2 linked regions of the Oryctolagus cuniculus genome follow. The protein of the gene in region 1 purifies or fractionates together with the protein of each later gene. This does not show direct contact. Links are inferred from orthologs where the notes say so. Each region holds a gene or a part of one and is shown on either strand. Other genes may lie near its edges.

What was found. The genes of interacting proteins can lie anywhere in the genome.
Region 2: the proteins of INPP5K (region 1) and GART purify together in Homo sapiens (co-immunoprecipitation; 3 studies listed by BioGRID and IntAct, counting the BioPlex papers as one, with this or other methods). This does not show direct contact. The link is inferred for Oryctolagus cuniculus from reciprocal best matches to the Homo sapiens genes INPP5K and GART.

The regions. Positions count from the first base shown.
Region 1 is NC_091448.1:47,058,222-47,061,971, forward strand, and holds the start of INPP5K (inositol polyphosphate 5-phosphatase K), read right to left. Parts: upstream 2,585-3,750; 5' UTR 2,395-2,584; coding exon 2,261-2,394; intron 1,517-2,260; exon of another isoform or gene 1,051-1,516; intron 611-1,050; coding exon 503-610; intron 141-502; coding exon 32-140; intron 1-31. UniProt on the Homo sapiens protein: Inositol 5-phosphatase which acts on inositol 1,4,5-trisphosphate, inositol 1,3,4,5-tetrakisphosphate, phosphatidylinositol 4,5-bisphosphate and phosphatidylinositol 3,4,5-trisphosphate.
Region 2 is NC_091435.1:11,488,623-11,492,272, forward strand, and holds part of GART (trifunctional purine biosynthetic protein adenosine-3), read left to right. Parts: intron 1-2,770; coding exon 2,771-2,977; intron 2,978-3,650. UniProt on the Homo sapiens protein: Trifunctional enzyme that catalyzes three distinct reactions as part of the 'de novo' inosine monophosphate biosynthetic pathway.

The sequences.
Region 1 (3,750 bases):
CTTCTCTGTCCTCCGTGAACTTGCACGTTACCTTGACGAAGCTCAGAGGGGCAAGCACATCCATGAAGAAACTGCTCCACGGGTCTTCAAAGGCAGTATCGGAAATGAAGCTTACAATCCCAGAGTTCATTTCCTGCAAACTGACCACCCCAGGTCAGAGGCTTGTCCCCGGCCGAGGGCAGAGCCTCTGCCACAGACATTCAGCACTGCCCTCAGAGGACCTGAAGCCTCCGTCGGTGACCACGCTTCCTCCCTCCCTGGCTGCCTGGCTACCGGCCTCCAGTTCCCTGCCACTGCTGCCCTCGGACAGCAGACACAGCACCAACCCCACTTGGGCTGACAGCTCCTTGTCTGCAGCCTCCACAGCACCGACCCCACTCGGGCTGACAGCTCCCTGCCTTCCGCCTCCACAGGTTACTGCTGTTCTCCGTGGGCACAGCTTGAGACCGGTCAGGCTGATCTCAGACACAGGGCTGGCAGAAGGGGCCCTGCGGACACCTACCCAATAACATACATGTCCAGGTCCAGGTCCTGGTTGTTCAGCTGAAGCAGGTCACTGAGGTCTTTAGGGGGTGCTGCGGAGGCTACATTCCAGGTCACGACATGCATACTGTGGAAGGGGCGCAGAAAGCGTCATGGAGGAAGGAGGACAACAGACACGGTGGCCCCCCACACCGCTGCAGTCACATGGAAAACACGCGTTTCTGCATCTGATGGAGGAAGCAGAGGTACTGGACTACAAGCCCTGGGTCTTCACCTGTGTCCCCCGGAGCAGGACATCTGTGCCCCAGACTGGCTGCTCCATACAGACCCACAGCTGCCCACACTTGCTGTTCACATTAGCAGAGCTGCCAAACGGAGCCCAGAGCTTGTGGGCTGGGCAGCCAGGGTTTCCCGAAATGCACCAGCTGCACCAGCCATCCACACCTCACCTCAGCCAGCATCTATGGCTGACAGCGACTTCCGGCCCCCACGTCTCAACCCCGGGAGTTTGGAAACCACCAGGAAGACTGGGACGGAAAGACGGGAGGAGGAGAGCTCAGACTGCACCTTGCGAAGGCCTCAGCACTACAGCACCGCCGGAGAGACGCCACGCTCCCTTCCTCCACTTGCTCCCAGCAGATTCCCGCAGCACAACCAATTCTGGGAAGCACTTAGGGAGCCCAAGGAGAACTTCTAAGTGTCTCTCAACATCTCTCTCCAATCTCCCTGTCCCTGGGAAAGTCATCTTCGGGTGCCATTCTCCACCTCTGCTCCACACAGATTCTAGGGGAGCAAGAGCCAATTCGGTGGCTCTCAGAGCCTCGGCGCAAGGAGGGACTTGCACACAGAGCAGTTAACAGAAATCTGCCCAAGCAGCCCCAGGAGCTGCAAATCCCGCAGAGTTCACGAACAGCCAGCAGGCTGCACCAGTCCCAGGTGCACCGAGAGGAGGAAGACCCGCTGCTGTGGAAGGTCCAGCCTAGGAGATGGGGGGAAGGGGGCCGCTCCCATATGCCTCTGCTCCACCAGAAGGAAATTCTTGGCCGGCTTAAAGCAATTTCCTGCCCCTCCCCAAGAATATAAACAAACAACTCCAAGCCCACCTTCCCAGGCACCCGGTGGACAAAGTATTTCATCTGTTTACGATCTCCCCCTGCTGTCCGACAGAGGATTAAGAAAGCAAGCCCTTTCACTCAAAGGCCCCTTGTTTTCCCAGGCACCTGCTCTAAGTGCGTGGGGACCAGAGTTGGGATTTCTTGTCCCCACACTCAGGTCGGACGCTTAGGCGCAAATCCACACTCGTGATTCCCACCAAGTGGGTGATTAGCCCCGTTCCTCCTGAAAGAGCAGGCATGAGACCAGGCGACACCACTTCCCCGAAGGTTCTTATCTTAATCCGATTTCGGATTTCCGGAGGTCATAACGGGATCAGGCAGACCTCATGATGCATGTGCCGATCACAAACAGGAATGAGATTTCACCGCGACAGCCCAACACAACTGTCTGCTCCAGACACCTGCTAACTGGGCCACCCCTGCCCTGCTTGGAGTGTTCCAGTGGGGACGCGCTCGGCGGCCCAAGTTCAGAGGGGGCGCGAGGCTCAGGTCCAGTAAATCCCACTAGACCCTGGCCTGGGAGAATGTGGGAGGGCCTCTGGGTGAGGGCAGCCGCAGAAGCCTGTTCCCCTCCCTTCCAGTCTGGTCAGTCCCCAGCCCCCAGGTCCGCAGCCCCGGTGCGGCTGAAGGCAGCGACCGGCCCGAGCAGGCGTCTTCCTCACCTGAGTTTCCAGACATTCGGCTCGCTGGGCTTCTGCTCGCTCACGGAGGCCATCACGCTCTCGGGGTCGTCCGGCAGGCTCACGTCTGACTGCTCCGGCTCCTCGCTGCTGGACTCCTCCTGGTCCAGCTCCATGGCTCGGCCGCCTCACTCTCGCCGACTGTTTTTCTTCCGGATTCTGGCCGTCCGCCTCGGCTCCCGTAAGGGGCGGACCTCGAGCAAACCCAGGGCTCTGGGTGGTGCGGCTCGGCGAAGGAGGCGGGACCCTCCAGCGAGCGCGGCGCCGCCAGAGGCTGAGAGAAAAGGGCCCGGGGAGCCGGGCGTCAGCGAGGCGTGGCCTGCCCGTCCTCAGCGCACGACGTAACACTGCCCGCCGCCGGCACCCGGGCCCGCCTCGCGCGAGGCGGCGGGAGAGCCGTCTTCCGGCGGAAGTCGCTGCCGCGCCCGCGTCTCGGGGCCGCCGGTGCCTCGCTCGGGGTCTGTCTGCGGGCCTGGGTTTTGTGCTGTCCTCCAGCTTCCCGCCACGCAGAGACGTGCTCGGCCACGTAGCCACTGTCCCGCCTATGACCCGGGTCCCCCAACCGCAGGTAACCCCCGGCTCCACGCCGCGCTCGCACGGCCATTCCTGGTTCTAATCTATTCCACCTTCAAGTGGCCTTCGCTTTTCAAACTCATTGGTTTGCCTGTTACACACGGGACGCCTCCGGGTTCCTGGACTCAGGGAAAATAAGTCACTGCTTCTATTTGGTCTGCACTGAAGACCAGGCACCACAGAGATGACGGACAGCGCTCAAGATTCACTGCGAGTTCACTCCTTGGCTCAGTCTAAGGGGGCGGGGATGGAGGTGCACACAATCTAAGAAACGGGCTGCATCGGTCCGCAGGCCCCGCAGCCAGGTTCAGAGCTGTCTGAACTGTTCTGCTGGCTAGTGAACGGGGAGGTGTGGGGAGCGGGAAGCGCCGTGGGAACGGGCAGAACATGGCTGCATCACATTCAGCCGAGCTGTGTCAAGTGCGTTGACAAAGGTCGTCTTAATTTATGGAAATTCACCCGTGCAATTTAAGAGACATCATTGAACCTCTTCCTTACCCTGCCCTGGTAAAATGGGGGACATCAGTAAGAGTTTGAGACTATCTAAGTTGTAAAATGGGCATCAAAACATCACCAATAATTAGCTGGACTCCAGACAGCTCTGTCTAGGATTTTATTAGACTGCTGTTTTTTCCCAATATACCTGTATTGGAAGATTGAGACAAAAAGGCACAAACCCACATTAAATAAACAAGGTAATCTAATCAGTTCTACAAAGTGTAGTTTGTAAAAGAAGGAGCACTAGGAACCAACCAAAATGTCAGGGCGTCCCAGTAGGGACTGTAAAAGGAGAACTTGGGAAGGTAATACCAGGGGACCTCAAAACCGACCTCATCTCCAACCTTGGTGAGAGGACCAGAGCCCAGCACCCCTGCTGCAGAGGCAGCTGCTCGGAGGGG
Region 2 (3,650 bases), on another chromosome or scaffold:
GCTTCTGAGTCTCCCACATGAGTGAAGGGCCCACAGACTTGAGCCATCTTCCACCGCATTCTCAGGCACATTAGCAGGGACTGGATAAGTGGAGCAGCGTCCATCTGGGATGCCAGCTCTGCAGATGGTGGCTTTACCCACCTCTGCAGATGGTGGCTTTACCCACTGCACCACAGTCCTGACCCTACCACTTTGCTTTATTATCCACATTTGTAAGGCAGAAAATCTTCCTATGCGATTGGCTAATGTAAAAATGCAGTGCTCTGCAGTGAGCATCTCATATCAGAGCACTGGTTCAAGTCTTGACTGCTCTATTTCTGATCCGGCTCCTTGCTAATCTGCCTGTGAAGGCTGCCAAAGATGTCCCAAGTATTTGAGTCTCTGCCACCCATATGGTATACCAGGATGGAGTTCCTGGCTCCTGGCTTCAGCCTGGCTTATCCCTGGCTAATGTGGGCATTTGGGGCGTGAACCAGCAAACGGAAGATGTCTCCCCCTCTCGCTTTCTCTCCCTCTCTCTTTGACATTCTGCCTTTCAAGTAAATAATTCTTGAAAAAATTAAAATCAGTGCTCTGTGCAGATCTTCAAAGAGTGTTGGTAACTTCAAGTTCTATCATGAACCCTCATGCCGTAAAGCTATTAAGTAGTTCACGTAGGAAATCAGAGGACCTGAAGCATGACAGAAAAAGAAAATAGATTTGAGAATCATTTCATGCTTAGAAGGGAAAAGAAGTCCTGCGTTGCTAGTTAAATAGGGGAGTGGATGGTAACGTCATTAATTGAGGGGAAAGAGTAGGTTTGGAGTAGAAAGTGAGCATACGATTGTTTACATCTTCAGTGTTTATGAGCAGAAATGAAAAGCAGACTGCAAGTAAGTTGGGTGGTCATGTGCACATAGTAATAGTTGTAGCCAAGAGAGGGGAGGGGCCAGAAGGTCATCCCACAGTCAGAAGCAGGGGATGAAGCATGTCAGCGTACCATCGTCACGCCCAGTGAAGGGATTCGGATGGGGCACTGCTCAGCAGCACAGAGGTCTAGGAGGACCAGAAACTGGCCAATGTGTACTGCAGAGTTTCCCGGAAAGCAGCCTACTGGAGAGAGACCACCAACCGATTCTTGTGTGGAAATGGGTGACAGATGTAGAGACTGAGCAGAGATGCCTATTCCAGGACATTTACTGGTGAAAGGGAAAGTAGAAAAATTTAGCCACGTGACAGAGTGAAGGACAGGGTTTTTTCTCTCTGCTTTTTAGGATAGAGACGCAGTCAGAGGAACTGTTCTACCCATCATAGTCAACTAATAAGAATTGACTTGAGGGAATAGAAACCGAGGAAGATCACATACATAATTTCCCAGTGGAGTGGGCATCGTGGCGCAGCAAGTTAAGCTGCCACTTAGGATTCCCACAACCCATATTGGAGTGCTGGTTCCAGTCCAGGCTACTACTAGTCCAATCCTCCCTGCCACCCACGTGGGAGACCTGGGTGGAGTTCCTGGCTTCAGCCTGACCCAGTCCAGGCTCTTGTAGACATGAGGGGAGTGAAGAAGTGGACAGAATCTCTCTATCTTTCTGTCTTTCATTCTCTCTAACTTTTGGAAAAAAATCATGAAAAATTAGGGAAGTATGCATTTAGCATAGCAGGAAAGGTGCTAGTTAATATACCACATCCCATGTTAGAGTGCTGAGTTCTATGCCAAGCTCTGTCTTCTGATTCCAGCCTCTTGCTAATGCAGACCCTGGAAGGCAGCAACGATGGCTCAAGTAATTGGGCTTCTGCCACTTATGTGGGGGTTTCCAGCTTCAGCCTGCTCCAGCTGTGAGCATTGCAGATATTTGGGGAGAAACTGGCCATGAGAGTTGGCTCACTCCCTCGCTATCTGTCTGTCTTTCTCTCTTGCCTCTCAAAGATGTTTTAAGTAAATTTTTAAATATAAATCAGAGGTATACACAGCATGTTGAACTTAAACCTTTTCTGAAGCATGACTTTTCTTGAATTGTGTATGTATCTCCTCTAAGCCACCTAGTTTTACATCATACAGAGTATATTTTGGTCATCACCAAGACCCAGCTAACCATTCACGGAAAGGTGGTAAACCATCCTTTACTGAAGGTCACACATCTAATCCATCAGGGGACTTCTGAGGGTCTAGTTAGTTCACATAGCAGAAAACCTCACTCAGTTGTGAATACTGAGCCTGTCAACAAACAAGGTTCTTAATTTCTAAGATAACAAATGTATACCTCCCAAGACCTGTGCTGTAGCATAGATTAAGTAAGCCTCTGCCTGCATTGCCAGCATCCCATACTGGCGCAAGTTTGAGTCCCAGCTGCTCCACTTCCAATCTGGCTCTCTACTAATGTGCTAGGGAAAGCAGTAGAGATTGCCCGAGTCCTTGGGCCTCTGCCATGAATGTGGGAGACCTGGAAGAAGCTCTGGCTCCTGGATTCGGCCTGGCCCAGCCCTGGCCATTGTAGTCATTTGGGGAATGAACCAGTGGATAGCAGATTCTCTCTCTCTCTCTCTCTCTCTTTCTCTTTCTCTATCTCTATCTCTATCTCTATCTATCTCTGCCTTTCAAATAAATAAATAAATATTTTAAACAAAAAAAGTATTCTTCCCACCAAAAAGAGAAGTTCTGAAAGGCCAGTTATACTTTAGTCCTATGTGAAACAGCAAAGCCTGATTGTAATTTCTGTCTCCATATGTGTGTAACTTTGTACTTTTGTAGGAGCCAAGAAGCTAATCAGACAATTCTTGCTTGTTGCAGATGCCCGGACCTGGAGGATCCCTAGGATCTTCTCATGGTTACAGCAGGAAGGGCAGCTCTCTGAAGAAGAGATGGCCAGAACATTTAACTGTGGGGTTGGGGCTGCCCTCGTGGTATCAAAGGATCAGACAGAGTGGATTCTGAGGGACATTCGGCAGCACCAGGAAGAAGCCTGGGTGATTGGCAGTGTGGTCGCTTGTCCTGAAGGTAGTCATTCTTTGTTTTTATATGTCTAATCTTCAGTGTAACTGAACCCCACCTCATGGACACTCTGCCCACCTATTATTCCAGCCATTGTCGTTGTTAACCCCTGTAACATGACAGAACGCACCCCGTTTAGAGCACATTTCTCTTTCTGCCTCAGAGCTCTGACACCTCTGTCTAGTGCACACCTACACCCCACAGGGTCACTTCCTAAAGTGATCCCCCTGTTTGCAAGACCTCACGGCTCCACTTTCTGGTGCAGCCCAGTTCAGGGAGTAGTGAATGAGCATCCGGGTAAGCCCTGGGTATTAGTTAGGCCTCTGCTAGAAATGCTGGAAGTTGGCAGTGGCAGATCAGCTTAATTAAAAATGTCAGAGCTTGTTTTATTTGCCTGCATTTGTCTTTATTTCTTCTGTTGTGTAGCCTTCAGGCAGGTCCTCCAAAGACCAGAAGGATAACGCCCTTCAGCTCCCCTTATAACCAGAAACCACCTGTTTCTTACCATCCTGAATCGTGTCTTTGAGTGACCCTCCTGGAACACTAGCCTAGCCCCGTGCCAGGAGGTTGTGACACTTGTGGATAGTCTCACTGGGAGGATTAATCAGGGATTAGGGACAGATGCTGGCAGGCAGTGACAGCCTCGTAAGCTTCTGACAAGCTGTTCTGTAGCTCTCGG